Linked DNA regions of Sus scrofa. The protein of the gene in region 7 interacts with the protein of the main gene of each other region in a pairwise test. Links are inferred from orthologs where the notes say so. Each region holds a gene or a part of one and is shown on either strand. Other genes may lie near its edges.

Region 1 (4,013 bases), on a different chromosome or scaffold from region 7:
CCAAGGCCAGCAGCAGCCATGGGAACCACCACTGCTTCAGAGACTGCAGTATTACTCCGAGATTGAGTACCTAATACCAGGAAGCTCTGTCTGGCCCCTACCCTGGGCTCCTCTCCCGAGAAGAGCTTCATGGCCATTTTCTGAGAAAGCAGCCAGAAACACCGAGAGAAGCCAGAGCTGCCCATCGAAATCTTCCATCCAATCCCGAAATAAAATCATACCGGTAACTGCCTAACTTCAACACCCAAGCCTCTTGCAAAGATCAACGGCGATTGTGCACGAGAGCGCCCACTAGTGGCCGGCATGCAGCAGTGCTGATGCAGGAGTAACTACAGCAGAGCCTCACCTCCCTGCCCTGACTGTCAAGGAGCTCACACAGTACCTTCCATGATTCCTAGGGCCCAGGGACTTCACAGCTGCCAGGAAGATGAGAGGGCTTTGCTCACTTCTCTGCCTCAATTATACAGTCTTTAGGGTGAAGCTCATCCAGAGTCCTGAGTTGTCCCCATGCCCAGCCTGCAGGAGTTCAAGTGTGAGAGGCCTGGCTAGTGGCCAAGTTCTGGTGAAGACATCGAAGCCTGACAATGGAGAGTACAGGCTGCAGAAGAATCCAACTCTTCACACCAGAAGAGTCTCAGTTTTTACGTGCAAGCTTCGAGTGAGCCAGAGTAAAAGCAAAGTGTAGAACTCTGGAGTTAAGAGTAGACTTGAGACGGTCCAGGTATCTAGAGACTATACTCTTCTATGTTTCTAGCCAAGAGTTTGGACCTACTACAAAAGCCAAAGCCCACAAACTTGATTTGGTGAACAGATTAGGAATCAGAGTCAAGTGGACATACCTCCCCAAACTGGGGGCCTGCCAGGAAAAGGGGGGTGTTGTGCTTCATAGCACAGTCAGTTGCAGAACGATAGCCTTTAAATGGTATTTCAAAGGGTCATTCAGAGCTGCAAGGCCATCATCTTCATTAAAAGGACCCTTAGAAGCCTTACTAAGGGTGGAAACCTTCTCTAGTCTTCCCTGAACCCTTACTTCTTTTCTAGGGGAAGGCGCTGACATTCGAGTCCCCTCCGCGATTCCGGGGCCTTTACCTCGCTTGAACTCCTCCAGGACGGCGTCCAGCTTGGTGTCGTTGAAGACGAAGTGGAGTGGGTGATTGTAGAAGCGAGTGATGGTGCTGAGTGGCGTGCAGTCTTCGGGGTCCACGAAGGCCAAGTCCTTGAGGTAGAGCATGTCCACGATGTTGGAGCGCTCCTCCTCATACACGGGGATGCGCGTGTGACCGCTCTGCATGATGCTGGCCAGGACGCCGAAGTCCAGCACGGTGCTGGCGTCCAGCATGAAGCAGTCCTCGAGGGGCGTGAGCACGTCCTCCACGGTCCGGCAGGGCAGCACGCCCTTGCTGAGATCGCTGTAGGGGTCGCCACCGCCGCGCGCCAGCTCCAGCACGCGCTCCCGCAGCCGCCCAGGCCGCGCGGCTAGTTCCAGCAGCTGGCCCACCGGGAGCGCCACGGGCAGAGTGAGCAGCACCGCCAAGCGGCTGAGGATAAGAGCGCGCGGCGCCAGCGCCAACGTCCAGCGCCCGCTCACGGCAGCCGGCACCACCTCGCCCACCAGGAACAAGAGCCCCGCGCTGCCCAGCACGGCGGGCACGGCGCGCTGGCCAGCCGCGCGGTACAGTAGCACCGCCAGCGCAGCCTGAGCCAGGCTAGCCAGCAGCAGCAGCGCCCCGAGGGCGCAGCCGGCCCAGCGTCTTGAGGGCTCCAGACGCCGCGCCGCCGCACGCTCCGCCTCCGAGCCGCTCTCGCGCAGCACCTGCACTTCGGCCGGCGCCAGCGCCAGGGCGCTCAGCTGCAGGCCCCGCGCCAGAGCCGCCAGCGCCAGCAACCCCGCCGCCCCCAGACCCACTGCCCAGGGCGGGGCCGCCTCCTCGGCCGCCTCGCCGCCCGGCTCTACACGCACGGCTAACAGCGCCGAGTGCGGGTGCGCGGACTCAGAGCGCAGACGCAGCAGCGCACGCCACTCGCCCGTGGGGGCCGCCGCGCCGCCCGGCTCCCCACGCACTGCCAGCCGCGCGGAGTGCGGATGCGCGGCCTCCGCGCGCAGGCGCAGCAGCGCACGCCACTCGCCCGTGGGGGCCGCTGCCTCGTCTGGAGCTGCGACCGGCCCGCCCTCTGGGCAGCCCGCCCCCTCGGGGGCCACCCAGGACCAGGAGCTGTTGGCTAAGCCCGACCCGAAGAGGCGCAAGCGGAAGGTGGCCTCCGGAGCAGTCCGCACCTCCTCTCCTCGCGCCCACCCCGTGCCTGCCGCTCCGTCCTCTTCCAGACAGACGCCCAGCACTCGAGGACCCGGAGCCGCCTCCGCGGCGGCGTTGCCCAGGCAGAACGCGGCGAGCAACCAGCCTAGCCGACCCGCCGTTGCCGCCGCCATCGCCTGCTGCCCCCTCTCGGCCTCCCGCGCAGCCTACCCCTCCGCCTCCCCCGGGCCAATTATCGCCGGCCCTGGCGCTTCCTCCACCAATAGGCGGCAGGCGGGGGCGGGCCCCAGGGTCGGACTAGGCTGCGCCGGGGAGTAAACAAGCGGCGGCGCGATCCTGGGGCGGGCCGGGGGCGTGGGGCTCTAGGCCCCGCGGGGCTACACCGCGGCTCCCTGGGCTGGGGCTGGCCGGCTCCGGGAGGACGCGGAGCGGAGAGCTGGCCCCCATCAGCGGACGTCTGGTTTCCCCCGGCCATCCCCGCGCACCCGGAGGCCGGTCCGGGCTCTGGGAAGTGCCTGGCTCAGGATTCGGGCCTCAGAGCGGAGTGGCGCTCCTGAAATTGCAGGCAGAGACTTCAGCGAATGGGAGATGGGCAGTTTTCTCAGAAAGCGCCCCGTGAACCACAGACCTAAAGGGCAAGGAGGGCTTAAAGAACTGGTGACTAGGCTTCGGAAGCTAAGGTTTATTGAAGACGTGTGATTGCTCCCGACTCTGCTATTGGTCTGGGTTGTGACACACAACCCCTGTTTTAAAAGGAACTTGCATTCTTGCCAGGAAGAACGACAGTAAATAGATAAACACACGAAATCACTACCTCTTTGGATCCTTGCAGCTACTTCGTGTTATTAATATATTGCACGGGAGAAAAGTAGGACTCGACTTGGCACAGATATCGGGCTCCAATGCGACCAGCCTAGTACCCTGTTCACCATCCTAGCCGCTTTAGGAGATGGCAGCTCTGTCAGGAATTACTGTACCTGGTCGTCCCACTTCTAGCAGATCATTCTTGGGAAAATAATTCCTAAAGACAAACAAGTGTTCCTCAGCCCATTATAATGTCATCTTGACCTGGTTGGAAGGAAACATACAGACTGCTAACAAGACTTCTCTATAGGTGTGGAGAAAAAAGGGCTTTTTAAGAGATTTTCTTTACATTTGTATTATCAAATTTCCTAACACAGTAGACTGTGATAAGACCATCCATATACATGTCATTTTAAATAGTCTTTACGAGGATTCTATAGAAACACATTGCTATGTTCTGAAAATAATATAAGTAAGTGAGGCACTGTGGCTGCAATTAAGTAAAATAACGTTGGTGTGGAAGGTAATATGCAAAATTGAGTAAACCAACAGAAATACTGTGTGAGAATTTTCAGAATAAGCCGCCAGAAGAAGCAATAATACTACTGAGCTTTTCCACTGGACTGGCACACTTCTTTTGGAAAAAGGAAATAAACTCAACCCCTTTGGTTCACACTTCTGTCCCCCAGTCCAGAGAAAATGCTGACACAGTGAGAATGGATGACAGGCTTGAAGTGAGTCATGTGCCTGAAAAGTTAACTCACAAAGAACACTTCCAGAGGCAAGATGGGGAAAATGCCTAGTGCATCTAGACAGGGCTCTGACCTTTGACAAGTAACTTTTCCCTTAGTCTCTGGCTCCCTTAGAAAACAACCTATAACTTATTCTGGGGGGAAGAAGACCTTTCGGTAGAAGAAAACTTTTGAAAACTTGGATCACACTTGGAAAACACAA
Region 2 (3,500 bases), on a different chromosome or scaffold from region 7:
GACCCACTGAGTGAGGCCAGGGATCGAACCCGAAACCTCATGGTTCCTAGTGGGATTCGTTTCCTCTGTGCCACGACAGGAACTCCTTCTTTTTCTTTTTTGTCCGCGCCAGTGGCACATGGAAGTTCCCAGGCGAGGGGATCAAACTCAAGCCACGGCAGTGACGAGGCGCAGATCCTCAACATCTAGGCCACCAGGGAACTCCTCACAATCTGCTTTTTGATCACTATTATGTATCAGAGATCAAAGTTATCCTCGCCAACCAATCCCTGATGCCAGCGAAGGCCAGGTCCATGTGCTTTATCAGCTGGCTGGACCCAAAGCAGCTGGGTGGCTCTTGAAAATCAAGAAGCCTAACCAGGGCCCCTGGGAGGAGGGCATCCCTAGCATCCAGCACTAGGTGGGGCTGGAACTCCCTAGGAGAGTGCAAGTCTGCGCCAACAGAAAAAGAAGCAGATGACAAAGGGTGAGGTTGTATCCCTAGCAGCACAGCAGACATCACTTTTATCTGGAAATTATTTGAGCAGGTGCTTCCAATACACTGTGGCTCTTATGAAACCCTTTTCCTGATAGCATCTCCAAGCCATCAAGAGACTAATAAATCTGGCAACAATCTGAGATTGGGTTGGGCGTGGTTTTTTTGTTTTTTTTTAGGGCCAAACATGTGGCATATGGAAGTTCCCAGGCTAGGGGTCGAATTGGAGCTGCAGCTGTTGGCCTTCGCCACAGCCACAGCAATGCCAGATCTGAGCCACGTCTGCAACCTACACCACAGCTCATGGCAACACCGGATCCTTGACTCACTGAGCAAGGTTAGGGATCGAACCCGCATCCTCATGGATACTAGTTGGGTTCGTTACCTGAGTCACAACGTCAGGAACCTCCTAAACCTTCAACTGGAAAAACAAACAACCAACGCCCCCCACCCCGGAACAGTTCTGAAGCCTCCTAGGCTCTATTTAGTTCAAGCTGTTACATGACTAACTGTAAGAGGAAGTAATAGCTCACTTCCAGTCAAACACACAATGATTGGGAATCATAACAAGTGACCCTGGTGTGACTGTGGGATGGGGTTACCCCTTAAGAATAAACAAACAGGTTTTAGGAGTTCCCATTGTGGCTTAGCAGCTAACTCTTCCAACTAGCATCCATGAAGATGCAGGTTCGATCGCTGACCTCGCTCAGTGGGTTAAGGATCTGGCATTTCCATCAGCTGTGGTGTAGGTCACAGACACGGCTCGGATCCCGAGTTGCTGTGGCTGTGGTGTACGCCAGCAGCTACAGCTCCTCCTGGACCCCTAGCCTGGGAATCTCCATATGCCGTGGGTGTGGACAGAAAAAGACAAAAAAAAACCAAAAAAAAACCAGGTTTTACAGGGCTAGATACCTCCAGCCCTGCATCCTCCACGTGGCCAGCTTTTTGGCCCCTCTTGCCCAAGGTTCTTGAACTCCAAAGCGCCCAGGAAGCCAGGGAAGCAGAAATGCCACTCTACCCACCCTCCACCCCAGACACCTGCTGACGGCATTGGCCACAAGCTTCAGCTGCTCCTCCGCCTCGGCCGTCTGCTGCTGCCTCCGGCGCCGGGCCTCCTGAGCGCGGCTCAGCTCTATCTGCAGGGCCTAGGAAGGAGGCAGTAAAGAGAAGGGTCCCCTTCCTGGGGTGTCCCTGCTCTCCCCTGGCCTCTGCCTGTCTCAGACGCTGACCTTGGCGCTCATCCGCTCCACCTCCACCTCCGCGGCTTTGTCTTGCAGGGAGCGCTCCAGGATGGCCCGTTCCTGGCCCTGGGTTTCAGCTCTTTCCTGGAGCTCTGCCACCTGGGGGAGGACAGGAGGCAGGTCTAGACCCAAAAGCTGTAGGGGGGACACTGGGAAGGGGTCAGGGGCAGAGGTCTCGGAAAGAAGGCCGCAGAGGGAGACAAAGCTTGGGTTCCTGAGACTGGAGTCTGAGTCGGGATTTCCCTCCAGAAACATGGTCCCTATACCCACACCCTGAGGAAGCGCCCTGTGACCCACCCACAAGGACCCATGGCCTCTGTTCATGCCGCCCACCCATCCTTGAATGCTGTCGCCTCCTCAGGTGACCATCCCACCTAAGGCCGGCCCACCTCACAAAAAGTAAACCCCACAAGAGCAGGTCCTTGTCGGCCTCTGCTCAGGGCGGTGCAGCCAGCATGTGAGAAGCATTCAGTAGGTATCTACTGAATAAATGCCAGCCCTAAGGAACAAAGAGCTGGGGGAGAAGACGGGGAGAAAGAGGGTACCAGGCCACCTGTCCCTTCAGCTGCTCCACGCATCCTCTGTGCTCCAGCTCCTGGGCCTTCAGCTGCACCATGAGGGCGAACACCTTCTCCCGCCAGCGCTTCAGCAGGGCCTGGCACTTCCTGGTGAACTCGGGCTCCAGGCAGTCTGAAGGCTGAACCTGCGGGTGGAGGAAGTGGCGGGGAGTGTGGGCTCCTGGGGAGCAGAGGAAGCGGGTGGGTTTTGTTTCTTCTGTCCTGCCTAGGCCATTGGCAGCCACAGCAAGAAAAGGCATTCAGGGGAAGACGATGCTGGCAGGTTCGGGGAGGGGCACGCCAACCCCTCCCATGCCTGGGGTTGGGGACAGGGCAAGGCACCCAGGGGCCTACCTTGCGGGCCAGCTCCTCCTCCTGTATGCAGAGGATGTGCGTGAGGCTCTGCACGCGCACCTGCAGCAGCTCAGCCGTGGTGTGCAGCCCGTCCCGGTCCTCCTGCAGCTGCTACAGTGGAGTGGGGGTAGGGGGAGGGCAGCCGCTCTGTTGGAGCTCCCAGAAGCCCTCAGGGATGGCCAGTCTGGGCCCCGGTCACGGCACTGCCTTCTCTCCCCGGGGGCTGTATTCTGCTCCAGCGGCCCCCTTGCCCAGGACCTGAGCCCTCATGTCCCACCCCATGCCCAGCACTCTCTCACCTGCACAGTTTCTAGAAGCTCCTGTCGCTCTGATTCCCACGTCTGGCTGTGGACCTCGGGAGGAACCTGCTCCCCCACATATCTCCTTAGGTTCTCAGCCAAGGTCACCTGAGCCTCCAAGGCCTCTTGGGTCTTGCTAGGGTTGGGGTGGGAGCAGGGTAGCCATCAGTGGGGCACCCTGGAGACCCACCCCACCCACCAACTGCTGGACCCCCTCGGCCACCTCCCTACTCACCTCAACTGCTGCCGCAGCAGCTCAGCCTCCCTCTGGGCCGCAGCCAGCTCCTTGGCTTCCTCTGACCTCCTGGTTTCCAGACTACTCAGAGATTTCTCCAGGCCCCCAGCCTTGTGAGTCAAACTGGAAAGAGCCTCCTGGTGAGCCTGTGTCAAGGAGGAGAGCTGTGGAGAGAAGGGGGCGCTCAGCAGGGCCTGCTGGCCCACAGCTGGCTTCCCAAGTCCTCCTCCCGCCTCAGTCCTGCCCCTCACCCCCACTTCCTATGACCTTGGATGACGACCCAAGAAATCACCCAACGGCACACGACTGAATGGAGACCGTCCTTAGCGCCTTACTCCC
Region 3 (3,500 bases), on a different chromosome or scaffold from region 7:
TGGGAACCTCCATATGCCGTGGGTGCAGGCCTAAAAAGACAAAAAAAAATTTTTTAATTAAAATATAAAGGAAAGGAAAGGAGTTCCCTGGTGGGTCAGTGGGTTAAGGATCTGGCATTGTTGCTGTTGTGGCTTGGGTTGCTGCTATGGCACAGGTTCAATCCCTAGCCTGGGGAGCTTCTGCATACCAAAAAGAAAAAGAAAAAAAGAAAAAAAGGAAGGGAGGCAAATTCCTTTTTCACAACAAGAAAAACTGAGTTGCCTTTCTCATCCACATGTCTTGAGAAGGATTTTTTTTTTTTTTCTGCTCTGTCACTGGGCAACATTACCAGATGAAGGCTTAAAGACAGAACAAAAATCTGACTTGGCTCCTTGACTAGGAAAGATCAGGAAGCCGAGGGTGTGACTGGTACTCCTCATGACAATACCCTGTGACACCACACTGGGGACCCTAAAGGCAGACCTGCCCTTCCTACCCAGGGTTACCGTTTAGGCTGTCATCGGTAGCTGCTGAGGGAGACTCCTCCAGAGGCCCAGCCTCACTCCATCTGGGCGGGGATGAGAGCTTGCCGTCCCCGACTGTCGAAGGCAATGACTTCGGAAAGGTGCCGGGAGTGGAAATCGATGCTTTGTGGGGGGCTGTGTCATCTGAAATGTGAGTCTGTGGGGAACAATTTCTTGAGCCAGTGCTGCGAAGGATCCCATCGGCTGACTGTGAGGTTGGCACACGTGATGTCCAAAATGGCTTTGAACTGGAAAGGTCCTTACTGGGCAGTGAAAGGACTCTTGGTTGAGTTGGGGTCTGATCCTACTTTGGAGGAAATTAAGTGAAATTACCAAATGTACGACACATCTGTCCTTATCATTGGACACCACGGCTGGTGGGAAGCATGAGACTAACTCCTTGGTGATCAAACAATTATCCTTCTCTGCTCCTATCTCTCCTCTCCCCCCATTTCTGGAAGTCAAGGTACAACATTTAGACAAGCTAACACTGAGATTAGAAATACTCCACAAGGGAGTTCCCTGGTGGTCTAGTGGTTATGCTTTCACTGCTGCAGGCTGGGTTCAATCCCTGGTCTGGGAACCCAGGCCCCACATCAAGTTATTGCATGCCATGGCCAAAAAAATTAAAAAGAAAAAAACATACTCCACAAATAATTAGGAATATCACTTTGCTTTCAAATACATACCGTTAATTACACATTTTCTAAACCAGGTTCCCTTAGTACGTGATCTATGACTGCCTGGATCTTCAACAGAGTCAAAATCAATATACAGATTTTTCCCTTTTAGAATGCAACCTTCCTAGAGTTCCCAGGTGGCACAGTAGGTTCAGGATCTGGTGTTGTCACTGCTGTGGCGCAGGTTCAATCCCTGGCCCCATAACTTCTATATGCTTTGGGCATGGCCAAAAGGAAAGAAATCTTTAAAAGATTAAAAACAAAACAAAACAAGACCAATGGAGTTCATGTCGCAGCTCAGCAGTAATGAACCCAATTTGTATCCATGAGGATGTGGGTTCAATCCCTGGCCTTGCTTGGTGGGTTAAGGATCCACCATTGCCACGAGCTGTGGTGTAGGTCACGGACAAGGATCGGATCCCATTTGCTGTGGCTACAGCTGTGATTTTCCCCCTAGCCTGGGAACTTCCATATGCCATGTGTATGGCCCTAAATAGACTAAAATAAATAAATTAATTAAAAAAAACCTACAACCGTCCCATCACTTCACACGCATAGGATGGCTATGACAAAAAACAAAAAACAAAACCAAAAAACCCCCCGGAAAACAAATGTGGGCGAGAATGTAGAGAAACTGGAGCCCTCATACACTGCTGATGGGAAACAGTTCATCTGTTCCACAACAAGTTACACATAGAATTACTATAGGACGCAGCAATTCCACTCCTAGGTATAGACCCAAAAGAACTGAAAACAGGGACTCAGATACTTGTACACTAGTCACAATCACCAAAAGGTGGAAACAACCCAAATGCCTATCAATAGATGAATGGATAAACCAAATGTGGTCCACCCATACGATGGAATAATATTCAGCCATAAAAAGGAATGAAGCACTGATACACGCTCCAATGTGAGTGAACCTCGAAAAAATCATGCTGAGGGGAAGAAACCAGACACAAAAGGCCAGGTGTTGTCTGATTCCATGTGATTCCATTACATGAAATGTCTAGAACAGGCAAACCCACAGAGACAGAAAGGAGATAGTGACTATTAGGTTCTAGGGGAGGGAGAAACAGAAGTGATACTAGGTAAGGGTTTCCTTTGGGGATGATGATACTGTTTTGGAACGAGACAGAGCTGGTGGTTTGTGTAAGGCACTAAATGCCACTGGATTGTTATTAGATCAATTTTAGGTTATTTCACCCCAATTTTATTTATTTATTTTTTAATTTTGACCTTTTTTTTTTCTTTTTTAGCTATGGCATGCAGTGGCTTAATATGTGCCCTCAGTTCCCAGACCAGGATTGAACCCGGACCACAGTGGTGAAAGTGCCGAGTCCTAACCACTAGACCACAAGGGAACTCCCACCTCAATTTTTAAAAAATGGAAAGGCAGCCTTCCCAAGTTAGTGATTATTGTGTGGTACAACTGACAAGTAGGCGAGGATCACCAATAGCAGTGATCACTGCTGGTGCTGTCATGTGGTGTATATAGCATAAGCTCAACATATTGCAAAACTGTCTAATGTGTCCCAAATCCCGTCCCTTACAGAACAGACCAGGAATGGGTACCTGTGATGGGCTGAAACCCAACCTTTCCTTTGTAAACACTTTCTCAAGTAGCTTATGAGTGATGGCTGCCATCAGAGTCTCTAGTGGGAGTTCCCTTGTGGTGCAGTATGTTAAGGATCTGGCATATCACTGCAGTGGCTTGGGTCGCTGCTGTGGCATGGTTTCTATCCCTGGGCCAGGAATTCCACATGCCTTGGGCATAGCCAAAAAAAAAAACAAAAACAAACCAAAAAAAAACCTCTAGTGCTATGACATAAAGGTACAAATGCAAAACTTCTACTAAAAATAAATACAAGCAGGAGTTCCCTGGTGGCCTAGCAGGTTTAGGATCCAGTATTGTCACTATGGTGGCTCAGGTCACTGCTGTGGCATGGGTTTAATTTCTGGCTGGGGAATTTCCTCATGCCACAGGTGTGGTAAATAAATAAATAGATAGGGAGTTCCTGTCGTGGCTCAGTGGTTAACGAATCCGACTAGGAACCATGAGGTTGCAGGTTCGATCCCTGGCCTTGCTCAGTGGGTTAAGGATCTGGCGTTGCCATGAGCTGTGGTGTAAGTTGCAGACACAGCTCGGATCCTGCATTGCTGTGGCTGTGGTGTAGGCTGGCGGCTACAGCTCTGATTGGACCCCTAGCCTGGGAACCTCCATATGTTGCAGGAGCGGCCCTAGAAAAGGCAAAAAGACTAAATAAATAAATAAATAAATAAATAGATGGATAAATTGATAAGTAGACAAATGAA
Region 4 (2,794 bases), on a different chromosome or scaffold from region 7:
GAGGTCTGAGCAGGGGGCAAAGGTAGGGAGGCTGGGTGGCCTTGAGACTAGGAGGCCATGTCCCAGGGACTCTGCCCTGTTTGTAAGTGGGCTGGGCCAGTGGAGGCCTCTGAGGCTGCCTTGACCCTTGAACCCCAGGGGTGTACAGTCAAGCCTCCTTGGTTCCTGCCCAAGATGGTGAGCAGGTACCTAAGGTGCCCTGTGGGGTGGGGGTCTGTAGGGCAGAGCCTGGAGTCCTTCCTCCAGGGAACCCTTGAGCAAGTGCTGAGGCAGAAGACAATGGCATCGGGGGAGGGACTGGACAACCTGGGATTGTCCCAAGTCTGAGAGGAGCTGGAGATGGGACAGGAAAGTGGGTGGTGTGCTGGTGGTGGTAGAGCACGGGGGTCTGCCAGGCTGGGTGCTAGGTGGGCATCCAGCCCCGAAGCAGCATGGCGTACAGGGTCCCCAGGACGCAGGAGACTCCTGGCTGCTGAGGACAGAACACGTGGACACATGGCGCCAATAAAATCTCTTTCTTTCTTGTTTGGTCTCTTGTCAGTTTCTCCCGGTGAACCCATTCCACTCCCACGCTCCCAGAGAACCTTCCTCCCTCTGCCCTCCTAGTCTCAGACCTTGCTGGCCCTCGTGCCCTCTGACCTCCCATACGCGGACCCTCTCTAAGCTGACTTTCCTGGTTCTCTGACCGCTACACCTGTGCCATCCTCCCTCTCCCAGGTGAAAGCCCCTAACCCAAGTCCCCTCACTCTTTCCTCCCCAGGGAGGCAGGCCGAGGACGGCACCCTGGGCATCCAGTCACCTTGGCCAAGGCGTCCTGAGGATGGGGCCCTCCTGGCTCCTCCAGGGCTCAGGGAAGCTCAGGGTTCTGGAGACTCCCTCCACCCTGCTGGGGCCAGATCCTGGCTCAATACTGGATGCCTGAGCCTCACAAAGAAAGAGCCAGGCCCTGCTGCAGACCCTCCTCCAAAGTCAATGCTGATAAGCGGTCCTGAGAAGCAGCCACCCGAGGGCCATCAGATCCACTGGACGAGCCCCTCATCAGCCTCAGGTGCTCCTCGAGGCCACCACTGGTGAGAAGGTGACAGGGCCTTGTCCTGGATGCTGTCGTAGCTCCTGAAGGGGTGGCCATCTGGTGGGGAGGGCAGAGATGCATGTGCCTGCAGGGAGCAACACCCAGAGCTCTCCCCGGAGGAGGCGGGGCCCTCACTTACCTGGGGGCGGTGGCAGGGGCGGGGGGGACGCTTCCCTGGCGGGGGAGACCTGAGGACCCCAAGCACAAGTCTCAGAGATGGGCCCTGGGAAAAGGGGCTTGAAGACCAGCCCACCTTCTCCCCTTGGCCTTCCTCCTCCCCAGTGCCCCCATCTTGCGACTGCGCATAGGTCTCTGCCCACCTGCTCTCCCCGTTTCCATCTTTCCTGCTCCCTCAGGGTCCCAGGAGGCTCCATGCTCCGTCCTCTCCCAACAGGACCCCTTGCCTGGGGCGGGGCGGACTGGCTGCTACTCACATGCTGAGGGGAGCCTGGGAGCCGGGGCCCCCGGTCCTTGATGGAGCCACGATGCCGCTGAGAGGCTCGGGACTGCAGGGCTCCCTTCTCGGAGAGCGAGTGGGGGCTGGAGAATCCAGAGCTGGGGTCCGAGACAGGTACCGACCCCGGGCCGGCGGGGAATGGGCCCGAGGGCTCAGGTCCGAGTGAGCTCTGCACTGCGCTGAGGAACTGCCAGTGACCAAGACCTCAGGCTAGGACCTCCAAGCAGCTGAGGGACCCCTGCCCCAGAAACCCCTTAGCCTCTCACAACAGCCTGGGCAGACCTCAGGCTTCAGGCACCCTCCTAACCTCCGGCTGTGGGCACTTCCAGCTCTTTCTGTCACCCAGCAGGGGACTGACCTTGTCCAGGCCCCGGACATCTGCGATCCTGTGGTGGGAAGTGGCAGGTGGTGTGTAGGGATCAGCGTAGAGTGGGGAGTGTGGTGTCTCCAGAGAGTGGCCCGGGGCCTCAAGGCTGTCCTCCAGGCTTAGCTGCAGGCAAGAGACAGATGCGACAGGTTTCCTGGAACTGGAAGTGGCCTAGCCCTCCCTGCTCCATGCTGTAGGCCTCTGGGTAGCTCCGGGACCGAGACAGGCCAGGAAGGTGACGGGCAGGAGGGAGAGGCAGGCCCAGAGCCAGGGTCATTGTGCTGGGCCCACCTTGGTCAGGTCCAGGCGCAGTGGGGTGACTGGGCTGGGCCCCTCGCCCCTCGCCTTGCTCCTGGGTGATCGGCTGCTGCCGCCCCGTCTCAGCTTTGCCCTGTGTCCACTGACACTGGTGCCGTCAGGGTTGGCTTGCTCCTGCGGGGACCAAGAAATTTCCAAAAGTTTCCCTGGGGCCCTCTCCCACGTAGCCCTCTGAGGTTACACAGAGCCCCTGCAGTCCAAGTGCCCTCCCCTGAGGAGGTAGGATCCTAGTTGGGTTGGGCTCCCCCTCTCCCTCCACGGCCCACTCCCCTCCAGACACTCACCAGTGCAAGCTGGGCAGGGCAGTCTGTGGTAGAGGGCACCAAGGACTCAGGGAGGGAGTGGCTGGTGCAGGTGGAGGCGGGCGCCAGGCACCCTGAGTCCCAGCTGGTCCGTCCATCCGAGGAGAGCGAGCCTTGGCCACCACCCACAATCTGGGCAGTCGGTGGTGGGTGAGGGTGAGCCGACAGCACCTCTCCCCACGTACCCATGCCCAGACCCATCCTCCTGTTTCTACCACTGCCCGGGACCCCAGCTGTGGGGCAGCATCCCGCTGCTGCCAACCCCTCACCTGTGTGGG
Region 5 (4,017 bases), on a different chromosome or scaffold from region 7:
GACCTGTCCAGCTCCCACCCCCACCCCACCCAGTGCCTACCCAAAAACTTCATGTCATTTGAAGGAGGAAAAGACTCTGAGTGGAGGTGGGGAAGAAGTCAGACAACATGAAGGGCAAAGACCTCCTTCTGACAGACTTATTTTAGGGCACCGGGCTGCATGCAGCTGACGCTTGGCATGACTTTGGTAGAAGTGGGGGGAGGGGCTAGAAGTATGGGGAGCTGTGTACATTGCAGGGAAATATTGGCCAGGCTGAGAACGAACAGACCTGAAATCCTGAAATGAGACAAGGAACCAGACTCAAGGAAAGTCAGGCTCCCAGCGCCCACTATAGTTTATTTGTGAACTGAATGGGGAAAGAGTGTCAGTCCAAGGGGAGATCAGGGGGTTCCTCTTCATCAGAATCAAACTCAACATTCTCATCTTTTATCCATCGACCTTGTCCATCTGGGATCCATCCAGAACTGGAAATATCAGAACAAACAGAATCGATCAGGAAAGGAAATGTGTTAAGAATTTAGTAGCGGAGTTCCCTGGTAGCTCGGTAGTTTATAGATCTGCATTGTCACTGCTGTGGCACACTTCTGCATGCTGTGGGCATGGCCTCCCGCCCCCCCCAAAAGCTAGTAGGGATAAGTAATATTTGAGGTTTGAAAAAAGGAGAGCCAGAGAGAAAAGGGACAATCTGAGGAAAGTGATTCCGTACACTCACCTTCGAAGGGTGAGATAATGATCCAGAGCCCGTCTTCTTGTGGGGCTCATAGGTGCAGGGGATGAGACAGTGGCTGATTCCTTGGTTTGTGATGCAGCCGCAGGCTCAAGTTCCCTACTGATCCTCTCACTTTGGGATTCAACCTCTGGGGGTGAAAAAGCGGAACGAGAGACAGAGGGACGAGGGGCTTCTGGTCTGGGTAGAGAAGAATCAAAGTCTGTAAAAGCAGTAAAGGAAAGGACCAAATCTCCTGTAACTCCCAACCCCTTAAAGCAGTGCTTCCTAAACTGTATTCCTCAAGATATTAACAGGTGTTCTGCATAAAAAGGATTTTGGAATCAAATGAACTTAAGGAAAGCCTAAGTTAGTTTTTTCAGCTTTTTTTTTTTTAAGACTGTGTAGAACCCTGAAAATATACTGTTACTATTCTTTTTTTTGGTCTTTTTAGCGCTGCACTGTGGCATATGGAGGCTCCCAGGCTAGGGGTGAATGCAAGCTACAGCTGCCAGCCCTTACCACAGCCACAGTAACATGGGATCCGAGCTGTGTCTGCAACCTACACCACAGCTCACAGCAACACTGGATCCTTAACCCACCAAGCAAGGCCAGGGATCAAACCCTCATCTTCATGGATGCTGGTCGGGTTTGTTCACCGCTGAGCCATGATGGGAACTCGTAATATTACTATGCGTCAAACAGGATTACAAAATCCTATTTCCCAAACAAAATTCTTTTTTCCTGAAATTCAAGTTAGCATTTCCAGAACACTAGTATTCCTCAGAATCCAATTTGGAAAACAGTACTTTAGAGCGATCGATCTCCTGTTCCTCCCTACTTCTGGATTACCCACCCCACAGACCTGTTCTTTCGGCGGCAGCAACTGTTATAGTGAGGAGCTCTGTGCAGAGCACTCTGGGTAATAAGTCGAGTCTGGGTTAACAGAGGAGCCTGGCATGGAGATGGGAGACAAAGTCAGAACCTTCAGAGCTAGAAAGAATCCAGAGCCTTCAAGCCTAAGGTGTGCAGCCTGGAACACACCCTCCCCTCTCTGATTACCTCTGCTTTGGTCTCTTCTCTCCTCAATTCATTCTGTTGTCTTGGATTTGGCTCCAGGCCCTTTCCTGGGTGCTTCTTGCCATAGAAAAGCTGCAGGCCTCAGGAGAAAGGGAAAGAGAATTAAAAGGAGGGCACCCAGAGTGAATAAACCCTTTAAGGGTTTATTCTCTATGCTCTGTCTTCCCACAAACTTACTGGACAGATGTTTCTTGCCTGCACGGTGGGCAGTCAACATGGCCAGGGTGTCCAGTACCGGTCGGTGAGGACAGATGGCACAAGCAAAGCTAGAGAGGAGGAGAGAAGATAATTGGTTCCTGGGGAGTGGAGTCTCTGCCATAGGTTCCACCACAGCCTAGAACTCCTTTCCAAAGCCCAAATCCCAAGTCTCCCAGTCTCCACCACCAACATCCCTGTTACTCACTCCCCGCCAAAGATTCCTTGTTCTTTCCAATCTGCTTAATAACAAAAGTTTGTTGAGCCTCTAACCGCAGAACCCCCAGGCTTGATCCACTCCTAGTCCTCACCGTCCATCCCGTAGCATCAACGCCTCATCCTCTGGGATGTAACTCGCCAGCAGGTCCCCGACTCTCCGTTTCTGCAGGGAACAAGGGAAGAAATGAGGACGGGGTCAGCTGGATATGAGGGAGGAACAAAAAGGAAATGACAAGGACGAGGACTCAAAGGGAATAAAGGCCACAAGAAGGGTAGAGATCTGGGCTGAAGAAGGGGTGTCGGCCCAGTTCCAATCGTCTGGCTTCCTCCGCCCCCCTCCCCCGAGTTGTTGCCACAGCAACAAAACAGCTCCCTCACAGCCTTCAGACGGCAACTGAAGCTGCTCCAGATGCTCTCCTCTCGCGCTTACTTTGAGCACATTGAGTTGACTCCAATCGTCCCCTTCCCTCTTGAAAGACATCACGACTGTGAGAGCCCCAGAAATATAAGTTTTATCGCGCCGCGTTCGCCACTCCTTTCAGGCCACCGTAGCAAGAGTGGGACGTCTCCTTTCTTTCCTGTCTCTTTCCGGTTGGCCCCCTTACTTCCGGGATGCGCTTCCACGCATGCGCCGCGCGATCCCGAAAACCCGCCTCTAGCCCATAGAGGGGACTGCATTTCCTATGGTGCTCTGCGACCCCGCCGGCGCGGAGCCTTTTGGGAAATGAAGTCTTTTTTCAAAGAGCTTGCCGCCCTGCCCGATTCAGGCCCTTGCATCTTGGCAGATTAGAGGCGTTTGGAGAAAGAGGAACCTAGCTGTGGATCCCGAGTTTGAGAGTGTGACTGATTTGATGCGGAGCGTACCTTTGAGGATCTCTCAGGGGAAAGTGTGCTACAGATTCTCGCGGTCATCACGCCCTTCGCCTGAGGCCACAGCCCACCTGGAGTGGGCCTGATTAGTTCCCGACCCTAGCGACCAAGCCCGGGACGCGCGGAATCGGGGTTGGGGGCTGGGAGGTCTGGCGGACCGACCTGGGGGCAAACTCTGTAGTGTAGAGGAGGGTGTCTAGTGGTCAAAGGTCAGAGGTCAATGTCGCGAGTTGTGGGGGATCGAAAGTCGGAGGGGTACTAAGGAGAAACTCAGGTAGGGACTGAACAGTCAGGTTACAGGTTTGTGGGAAAAGGCCTTGGAAGGCGGGGAAGCCAGGAGTCAGAGGTCGCCTAGTGGGGGGAAGGCGGAGAGACTTAGGAGAGAACACAGAAAGGGAAAGGAATCCTCCAGATTTTCATTCCCAGACCCCGGGCCTGTCACTATCGGTCACTTGGCCGGGCCTCCCGCAGTTGCAACTCCAGTTGTCCGCAGGGTGAGGAGATGGCCTCTCCCTCTAGACAGGCCCCCCTCGGGGGGTCAGGACTGCTTCAAGGGAGCCGGGCTCGTTCTTATGGAAGCCTTGTGCAGTCTGCCTGCTCCCCGGTGAGGGAAAGACGCCTGGAGCATCAGTTGGCGCCCGGAGACACCCTGGCTGGACTAGCACTCAAATACGGGGTGACGGTGAGTCTTCCAGGATTGGGACGCAGACACTCAGAAAAGATTTATTCCTCATGAGGATATAGTGGCCCTCTGGGCAACTTCACCTGAAATTTTCCTAATTGTGTCTAAATTAGTTAATTGTGATAAATTAATTGACAAGGGTCCCATCTCGTGTTGCACTGTCTGGTTGAGACAAATCCTGTCTCAATATCCCGGTGGAGGTGAGCAGCTCTTATTTATTATACCAGTCACTATACTAAAGACTTTACATCCATTAGCGCATCTG
Region 6 (4,078 bases), on a different chromosome or scaffold from region 7:
GTTTAACCGTTTGCAAAACAGATCTTTCCTCTCTGTGGTGGCCCTTCAGTGCTCGACCTAATGGATTACTTTATTAATAATGCACTGTGCTTAAAAGCAAAAAAAAAAAAAAAAAATTTTTTTTTCTGACGATTCAATACTTCAGAAAGTCTCTTAAACCCGTTGCTACGGCAAAGCGATTGATATTTTATTATCTTTCAGAAGTGCCACATGAAAGCCCGGCAGCCCAGCAGAGCCAGAGCTTTGGTCCTTGGCAGCTGGCGGACCTGGCTTCAGCCAAAGGAGCCCTGTCCTCTTCCAACGAGACGCCGTCAGCTGGGGGAGAGGCGTGGGGGTGGCTAACAGGAGCCTGGGTGCCGTCCACCGCTCCGTGGGACACACTCCCTGGGGGGCCTGGGGACCGGTGCTGCCACCCGGCCCAGACCGCCCCCTGCTGGGTGGGTGTAAGTACGAGGAAGGAATTAGGCAGCAGGTCTGGTGGGGGGGGTAAGTGGATCCAGAGCCCACGGAAGGGGCCACCTTCAAGGTTTCCTGGAACCAGGAGGTGCGAGACTCCAGTGAGCAGAGAGGCTGCTCGTGGAAGACAGCTGGGCAGGACACGGACCAAGCGGCTCCTCAGGGCCCTGGCCAGCCCCTTCCTTGGGTTGTGACGGGCCCCAGAGCTCAGTGACGTCAGCAGTACTGGTCACCACACTGCTGAGACTGGCCAGGGTGGGGACCATGGGGCTGGTGACAGCTGGGGAAACGCCTATGCCCAGAGCGGTTGTCTTGCTCTGACCCCGGAGGCGGGAGACTGGCTGAAATGACCTCCGGAGGGCCACCCCCACCCGGGCTCCTCCGCAAACCTTTAGCCTCACAGAGCCCGCGGCACTCGGGGGCGCCCGCACAGAGCCTGAGCTCCGAGACCCGAGGTGGCAGGGGCCGGGTTGGCCCCGCCAGCTGGAGACCAGACTCCCTGCGGAGGTGCCCAGGTACAGGCCTGGGGAGCCAAGCCCCTCAAACATCCTTACTAAAGACACCCCTGATTTCCACAGGCTCCCCCGACAAGAGCAGCCCCAGACACCAAGGAAGGACCCCCGTGCCAGCTTCTCCTTTGCCAGCAGGGAAGGTGAGGTCCAGAGCAGGGCATGGCGGGGCCGCTGTGACCCAGGGCGAGCAGAGAAAGGAGCCAGTCCTCCTGGTCCCACCTGGCCACAGACCGCTTCTCCTTCTGATCTACACTCAGCTGCCCCAGCCCTGCCCTCTGACAGCCCCTGGGGCCCAGGAGAGGGTCCGCGAAGACAGACAAGAAGCCGGGAGACGGCCGTCACGCCCCCGCCAGCCCTCGGCAGGGGGCCTCTGCCGACCAGAAGCATGAGCTCCCATGCCCTCTCTTTCTACACACGTGCCAAGAGACGGGCCCACCGGCCACAGGGCAAACCCCCATGCCACCCCCAGGCCCTCCCCGTTGGAGGTCTTAGAAGGTGGCACAGAGGCTGGGGGCATCAGCACGTGGTGGCAGCAAAGGGAACATCCTGTGTGACCTTAAGCAAGTCACTTAACTTTAGATTTCCACCAAACGCCCATGTCAGGAACACCTTGATCTGGAAGGCAGAGGGCCCAGACCGCTACGACGCACTAGCAGGGGTCAGAAGACGGCCACCACGGCCACCACCACGTCACTCTAAGAGGATCCCGCTGACGCCCAGAGGACCCATCTCGGTTTCTCACCAGCAGCTCACAGGTAGTGCGCGGGGGTCCTAACAGGTACCGCCTATCTCCCAACAACACCGACAAACCAGAGATCCGCACCTGCAGAGCGGGAGGGCCTGGGACAGCCAGGAAACGGCCCCTCTCCTGACCCGGGGTGGGGGGGCTGCCCCTGAGTCACAGGCACCCACTGGTTGTCCCCTCAAGGGAGCTGGGTCCCCAGCAGCTCCTGCCAGACGTACCAGGCCAACTGCTGCACAACACTGCAGTCAGGAAGGCTTTGGGGTGAGCGGGACCACCTGCTAGTGGCTTCCAGCCACCGCGGGCCCCTCTGTTGTGACCTCTCAGGCGCAGCGAGGCTCTTGACCGGGTCAGGTCCACGCTGCTGCTGCGCGCGGGCTACTGCCAGCGGCAGGGCACTTCCTTCCCCCGGGCCAAACTCCCGCCTCCGCGCTCAGGAGGCAGGGGGCAGTGGGCAGCCCAGGAAGCGTCCCCTCTTCTCTCCTAGCTTTCGGGCGGCCGCCTCCCCTGGGGGCCGGCCCGCCTGCCCCTCCCTGCCCGGCACCCCCGGCGGGCGCCGTGCTTCCGCGCACCAGCTCGCCGCGAGCTCTGGAGTCCGGTCCTCCTGAAGCCACCGATTTGCTCGGCGCTCAGCGCCTCTCGGGTTACCCGGCCGGCGCGAGGCTGATGGCTGCGGCGAGAGGCGCAGCCGCCAAGACCAACCGCTCCACGCGAAGCCCCACTGCGCCGAGATCCGAGGCGCCGGAGCCTCCTCGCGGCCCCGCGGAGCATCACACGGCCGGCGCGCGGCTCGCCCGCCTGCGGCCCGGCCCAGCCCGGCCCCGGGGCGCGCAGCCCGGGGCTCCGTCGCCTCCCCGCCCAGTCCCCCTCGGCCCTCCCCTCGCCCCCCGGCCCCGGCCCCGGCCCCCCGCCGACCGCCAGCCCGGCAGGCTCGGCAGGGCCGGCGGGTGCGCGCCTGGGTCCCGGCGTGTGTCCCCCCCGCCCCCCGCGCGCCGTGGAGCGGGGGCGGCGTCGCGACCCCCGCCCGCCACCTACCGTCCTCCTTGTCCAGCACCATCATCTCGGGCGCTCCGTGTCCAGCCGCGGCTCGGCTCGGCCGGGAGAAGGGCGCCGACGCCGGGCGCGCTTCGGCGGGGCGGCCGGTCCTCGGGCGGGCGGCGAGCGGGCTCTAATTACCCGCTTGTCCGGCTCTTAACCTAGATTGCACTCAGCTAGAATTACATTCAGGAGTGAAGCACTTCGCGGATACAAAAGCAGTCTCACCTACTTTTGTGCCTCAGAATTGCAAGGAACTGCGAACTGCAATTTAGAGAGAGAGAGGGAGAGGGAGAGAGGGGGGGGAGAGGATCAGAGCCGTTTCTTTGATTCTCACCTTCTAAATGGCTCAATTTGCCCAGTATAATCTGTCTTAATGTAATTGCATTTGATAGCTCATAACCCTGGCTCTGGCAACGACACAGCTTTCAGCCTCATAAAGTGTTTTCCCCTCGGATTTAATCTGAATCTCAATCTAAAATTATATTCAAAGAGATGGGGGAATCTCGGCGGCCGTCTCCCGCTGCCTTTCTCCCTCAATGTATGAGGTTTGCACTCCAGCTACTGAATAAATGCACACATTTCCCGAGGCCCCCTCCCTGCCGGGTTAATGGGGAGTGGAGACGCGCGGCTGCCCGGCTCCGCAGCGCCACCTGGAGGCCCCTCGGCCCCAAATCGGCGCGGGGCTCCGCTCTGCACCCCGGGTCCTCAGCCCCTGTCTGTCGTACCCAGCCCCTCAGCCTTGACTTCTGCCCCGCCCGCAGCGGGAGCCTGTTCTCTGACCTTGTACCCTCCCTTTCTGCCTCCTCTGCCTGGGATTTCTGGGTGCTCCTGGATTGCTTGGCAAAGTTAACCCTCTGCAGGGCGCACATCCCCCCCCCCCGCAGCCTCACAGCACCGCCCCTCCCCCCGCGCCCCTCCCAAGAAGAGCATCCTCATTCCACAGACGGTGGGATCCTGCCTCAGCTTCTCTCGGAGCAGGCACAGCAGGGCTCTGAGGGCTTCTCTTCACTCCACAACTCTTCACTGAGCATGTATTATGCGCCAAGCTCTACTCTAAGGCACTGCGGATACAGCAGTGAAAACAGACTCCTGCTCATTGCGGAGCCGACAATTCTTGCTCTGTGCCTCAGGAGGCAGGGAGGGAACAGGGTTCACCGCCTCTCCTCCTGACCCCCGCTTCTCCCCGAGAGCCCTGGGGCGGGGGCCAGGCTGCCTACTCCACGGGCCACTCTCCAGTGGCAGGAGCTTCTTTTCTTCTGGACAGTACAGAGTTCCGGGATGGGAGGGAACTCTTACTGGCTTTTCTCCAGACCAAGGAAGGCTCCAGATG
Region 7 (4,109 bases):
TTTCCTTATACTGTATGGAACAAGGAAAAGGGAATAACACTTACTGAATGACTACTATGTGATGGTGTGCTAATTGATTTCCATATTTATAGGCAATATCTTACTGAAAGGAGCTACTGTGTTTCTACCTGAGATCACACAGCCAGCAAGGGTTTAAAACCAGGATATCTGACTCCAAACTGCATGCTCATTCTAGCGCTTCGCAATGTCCAGATATTTTATTATGCATGTGTGTTGCTATCATTACTTTGCAGTGGTTCTCCTATGTCCCATCCCATCTTCTCCCCGGATGAATAAAATATAATTCTCTAGGGACAGTGACCCATGCCTTAGGTTTTTTTGACGTTCCCAGTCCTGGGAATTAGGACCACACATTTCACAACAAGGGGTTCGTGCCCATAAAAAGCTCCTGGAACACCCGGAAAGTTCCAGAGTGATCCCAGCGCCCAGAGCAGCCTGGCCAGGTTTCCCATGAAGAAAAGGATTGGTCTCCTCCCTGATCTGTGGGCAGTGCCCTGGCATGTGGATGCAGACCCAGGAGGTGGGAGAGGAAAAGGTGGGATTCCCCGTGGAAGAAGGGGATGCAAAGAAGGATGCAGGATGCAGGAGGGGAAGACTCATAGCTGTGGGGTTCTTTCCAAAGGCTTTATTAGCCAGGCAACCAAACAGGTTGGCCTCAGAGCAATGTGCTCCCAGCTGTGACATAAGTAGGATGCATTCATGCTGAGGGCCCAGGAAGGGCTCTGGGCACCAACATCTCCCGCACAGATGCCTAAATCCCCCCTGTGGTTGGGGATCTGTCCTTAGCATCAGGCCTGTCCTTCTCCCCAGCATCTCGTGTTTTGTTTTTTTTGTTTTGTCTTCTTAGGCCTGCACCTGTGGCATATGGAGGTTCCCAGGCTAGGGGTCTAACCAGAGCTGTAGCTGCCGGCCTACACCACAGCTACAGCAACGCCATCTACAACATACACCACAGCTCACGGCAGCACCAGATCCTTAACCCACTGAGCAAGGCCAGGGATCGAACCCACAACCTCATGGTTCCTAGTCAGATTTGTTTCCCCTGCACCACACTGGGAACTCCGACCAAGTCCATTAAAGCCCTGCTTTGGCAGCGTCACTGAGGGTTACAATCACAGAACATTCAGCCACCGGAGGTTCCCTTTCAGGCGTGTGAAGCTGAGAGGCCCCAGGATGCTGGAAGGAAAGACCAGCCACGCCACTAATTTTCAGACCAGGTGATAAGCCTGAGCCTCATTATCATATTTTTAAATTAACTCTGCTCCCGAGTGCCATGAGAAAGTCAATGTTGGTTTTCATAAATGCCAGCAGATAAGAGGATAATTCACAGGTCAATGTGATTGATCTTGATAGAATCATAACATTAACAGCAAAGAGGATAAAGATGTCATCTGCCATCCTCTGTGCTCATTTTTGCTAATTGTTGAACACGGAATCTTCTGACATCTTCTTCCTAAAGCTTATTCAAACTGGCAGAGGTGCAGGCATGGTCGGCAGAGTCCATAGCTTCTGAAGAACAAACCCAAACCCAGGGGACTGGGACAAGGGAACAGAGAGGGATGGGGGGCGGCAGGAGTGGAAGGGGGTCGCTGTCAGAATGCATCCTGACCTGGTGTAGGTCCTGCATCAATGGTCTGGCAGTAAACAGTGCCTTTAGGAAGTTCCCAGAGAGCGCTCACTGGGGAACTGCGACCCCCCCCCTCCGCCCGAACTGAATTGTTATGTACAAAAGGACCCAGGAGGGCAGAGAGCTTGGGCACTGATGGTTAACGCGCTGGAGGGAAAGAGCTCAGAAAGTACAAGTCCCTAATGTGAGGAAGAAAAACTGAAAATCAATAAGACCTGAAAAGACCACAGGGTGATAACAAACAGTGAGCCATAGGCATCTGCAATGTAACTGAGATGCGTGCCTGGCGGCTTGTTTGGGAGCCAGGAGGCCAGAGGCGCTTTCTGGCAATGCAGGGCTCAGGGCTGCTTGTGGCTGTTCCCTGCTGCGACGAATGGACTTGGTCTCAGAAGGAAGCAGAATGTGGCAGAGACCTGCAGGGAGCTCGGGGGTAGGCAGTAAAGATGGGGGGGAGGGGAGGTACCATGTCCTAAAAGCCAGGGAAGACGCAGCTGGCCTGTGCCCAGCCGGGGGCACAGCAGAGGAAGAGGCACTGACCTGGTTTCAAGCCTCCAGCTCCAGCCCTGCCTTACTAGTGGGGCTTCTGGGTTTCAATTCCTACACAGTCTCCCTCACGCTGCTTGGCCCCATGCCCACCACGTGATCACATCACACATCAGTGCTCAGGGCATCTCCCTCTCTCCCCCCCCAACCCCCGCCGTGTTAAGCAGATCGGTCCTTGCCCCGCCGCCAGCCATGCACAATCTCCTCTGGGGAGATCGAGTCAGCACACTGGTCCCTCACAGTCCTAGAGGTGGCCCAGTTCAGATCATCTAAACTTACAGACTACAGCCACACCACCCTGAACAAACCGGACCTGAACGCGCCCACATCTCATCTAAACTTAGAGACGCACCCTTCCCCCACCCAGGACTGCCGGCCTGGAGCATCCTGCTGAGGGTCCGGAACCTGACACAGGACTTGTGCGCAGCAGCAGTGCCTCACGTCCTCCGAAAGGCCAGGATGCCCAGGGGCAGTCAGTCCTGTTCCTACACAGCCCTGGACAGAGCTCTCTGGGTGGCTACCTCTACGCTGGATTCCTCCGCCCTACATTTCAGCCCCTCCGGCTGCACAGCCATGATCTTCCAGCAGGGCCTTAGGTGACTCTGAAGAAGCAAGGCTGCCCCCCCTTTGTGACATAGCCATGGAAACAATCCAATCAGGAGAACCCCTCCAGGGAAACGGCTGCTTAGCAGGCGGAGAGCTGAGAATCTCCAGCCCGTCATCCATTCACGGGCTTCCATTCGGAATCCTGCAAGCCCCGCCCCCCCATACTCTTGTCTTGGGCAAAAAGCAGGTCTTAATTCTCCTGACACCCCCAGATGACCCTGCACCCCTTGGGCTGAGTCCTAGGTTGTCTCCTCATGGGTTCAAGTCATATGTTTTTTGGTTTTGTTTTTTGTTTGTTTGTTTTTCTTTGTATGGCCACACCGGCGGCATATGGAGGTTCCCAGGCTAGGGGTTGAATTGGAGCTGTAGCCGCTGGCCTACACCACAGCCACAGCAACATAAGATCCGAGCCTCCTCTGCGACCCACACCAGTGCTCACAGCAACAACGGATCTTTAACCCGCTGGATGAGGCCAGGGATCGAACCCGTGTCCTCATGGATACTACTTGGGTTTGTTAGTGCTGGGCCGCAATGGGAACTCCAGGTCTTGCGTTTTTGATTCCAAGTCTCAGATCTCATTGTCTGCCAGCCACCTCCCAGGACCTGCCAGAAATCCAGAGAAGTTGCAGAACAGCCAACGCCAAAAGATCTAATTTTGGAGAGACTGGCTTATTTCAGAGTGTCACAGAGATTTCAAGGGGTAGGGCCGGAAGATCTTATCAGATCACCTAACAAGCTCCCTCCCCACCCCCCATTCAAGACTCAGAATGGCTTAAGTGCCCTCCCCCAGCCACACTGCTGGCTTGGCAGCTGCCCTACAACTAGAATCGGAGGCCTTGCTGGCTCTGCCTGCTCCATGTCCTCAGGCTAGAGTTTTGAAAGGGGAGGGTTATTCTGGCTAACTGAAGGGTTGCATCCTTCTGTGATTATCCCTACCTGAGGCAGAACCACATTGATTGGAATTTCTAGGCTTTCACATCTGGTATCTCTTTTTCTTGTAAAATTTGGCCTCGAGTGCTGCGGAAAAGAGAAAATAAATGGATTTCTGCTTCCCGGCCCCTTCTCTGGGCCTCAGATGCTCACCCAGAAAACAAGACTTTCTACTGCTCACTTATCCCTTCTTGCTAATAATGTACTTTATGAAAATCTGAGTCTGAAAGGATGTGAAAGTGATATCTGATAAGATATTTTACAGTTGATGGCAAAGCCTTCTGAAAGTTTTTGGAGTGGAGGTGCCTAAACCTACCACCTTTTCTAAGATTCTTTTTTTTTTTTTAAGGGCCGCACCCACAGCATATGGAGATTCCCAGAC

What was found.
Region 1: the proteins of SPERT (region 7) and CNNM3 interact in binary tests that used the Homo sapiens proteins (3 or more experiments, as listed by UniProt). The two-hybrid records come from large-scale screens. The link is inferred for Sus scrofa from reciprocal best matches to the Homo sapiens genes CBY2 and CNNM3.
Region 2: the proteins of SPERT (region 7) and CCHCR1 interact in binary tests that used the Homo sapiens proteins (3 or more experiments, as listed by UniProt). The two-hybrid records come from large-scale screens. The link is inferred for Sus scrofa from reciprocal best matches to the Homo sapiens genes CBY2 and CCHCR1.
Region 3: the proteins of SPERT (region 7) and C2H19orf44 interact in binary tests that used the Homo sapiens proteins (3 or more experiments, as listed by UniProt). The two-hybrid records come from large-scale screens. The link is inferred for Sus scrofa from reciprocal best matches to the Homo sapiens genes CBY2 and C19orf44.
Region 4: the proteins of SPERT (region 7) and PLEKHN1 interact in binary tests that used the Homo sapiens proteins (3 or more experiments, as listed by UniProt). The two-hybrid records come from large-scale screens. The link is inferred for Sus scrofa from reciprocal best matches to the Homo sapiens genes CBY2 and PLEKHN1.
Region 5: the proteins of SPERT (region 7) and SCNM1 interact in binary tests that used the Homo sapiens proteins (3 or more experiments, as listed by UniProt). The two-hybrid records come from large-scale screens. The link is inferred for Sus scrofa from reciprocal best matches to the Homo sapiens genes CBY2 and SCNM1.
Region 6: the proteins of SPERT (region 7) and LMO1 interact in binary tests that used the Homo sapiens proteins (3 or more experiments, as listed by UniProt). The two-hybrid records come from large-scale screens. The link is inferred for Sus scrofa from reciprocal best matches to the Homo sapiens genes CBY2 and LMO1.

Annotation. Positions count from the first base shown.
Region 1 is NC_010445.4:56,809,317-56,813,329, forward strand, and holds the start of CNNM3 (metal transporter CNNM3), read right to left. Parts: upstream 2,801-4,013; 5' UTR 2,429-2,800; coding exon 1,090-2,428; intron 1-1,089. UniProt on the Homo sapiens protein: Probable metal transporter.
Region 2 is NC_010449.5:23,548,110-23,551,609, forward strand, and holds part of CCHCR1 (coiled-coil alpha-helical rod protein 1), read right to left. Parts: intron 3,326-3,500; coding exon 3,162-3,325; intron 3,063-3,161; coding exon 2,927-3,062; intron 2,739-2,926; coding exon 2,628-2,738; intron 2,420-2,627; coding exon 2,270-2,419; intron 1,816-2,269; coding exon 1,705-1,815; intron 1,621-1,704; coding exon 1,514-1,620; intron 1-1,513. UniProt on the Homo sapiens protein: May be a regulator of keratinocyte proliferation or differentiation.
Region 3 is NC_010444.4:61,095,143-61,098,642, forward strand, and holds part of C2H19orf44 (uncharacterized protein C19orf44 homolog), read right to left. Parts: intron 809-3,500; coding exon 487-808; intron 1-486.
Region 4 is NC_010448.4:63,333,847-63,336,640, reverse strand, and holds the end of PLEKHN1 (pleckstrin homology domain-containing family N member 1), read right to left. Parts: coding exon 2,786-2,794; intron 2,649-2,785; coding exon 2,499-2,648; intron 2,329-2,498; coding exon 2,188-2,328; intron 2,020-2,187; coding exon 1,888-2,019; intron 1,717-1,887; coding exon 1,507-1,716; intron 1,261-1,506; coding exon 1,212-1,260; intron 1,130-1,211; coding exon 1,014-1,129; 3' UTR 501-1,013; downstream 1-500. UniProt on the Homo sapiens protein: Controls the stability of the leptin mRNA harboring an AU-rich element (ARE) in its 3' UTR, in cooperation with the RNA stabilizer ELAVL1.
Region 5 is NC_010446.5:98,079,575-98,083,591, forward strand, and holds SCNM1 (sodium channel modifier 1), read right to left. Parts: upstream 2,801-4,017; 5' UTR 2,682-2,800; coding exon 2,631-2,681; intron 2,364-2,630; coding exon 2,293-2,363; intron 2,053-2,292; coding exon 1,964-2,052; intron 1,867-1,963; coding exon 1,769-1,866; intron 1,661-1,768; coding exon 1,572-1,660; intron 908-1,571; coding exon 713-907; intron 465-712; coding exon 365-464; 3' UTR 270-364; downstream 1-269. Other genes in the region: LYSMD1 (lysM and putative peptidoglycan-binding domain-containing protein 1), read left to right, coding at 3,573-3,752. UniProt on the Homo sapiens protein: As a component of the minor spliceosome, involved in the splicing of U12-type introns in pre-mRNAs. Plays a role in the regulation of primary cilia length and Hedgehog signaling.
Region 6 is NC_010451.4:1,048,365-1,052,442, reverse strand, and holds the start of LMO1 (rhombotin-1), read right to left. Parts: upstream 2,801-4,078; 5' UTR 2,771-2,800; coding exon 2,746-2,770; intron 1-2,745. UniProt on the Homo sapiens protein: May be involved in gene regulation within neural lineage cells potentially by direct DNA binding or by binding to other transcription factors.
Region 7 is NC_010453.5:21,617,903-21,622,011, forward strand, and holds the start of SPERT (spermatid-associated protein), read right to left. Parts: upstream 2,801-4,109; 5' UTR 2,767-2,800; coding exon 2,713-2,766; intron 1-2,712.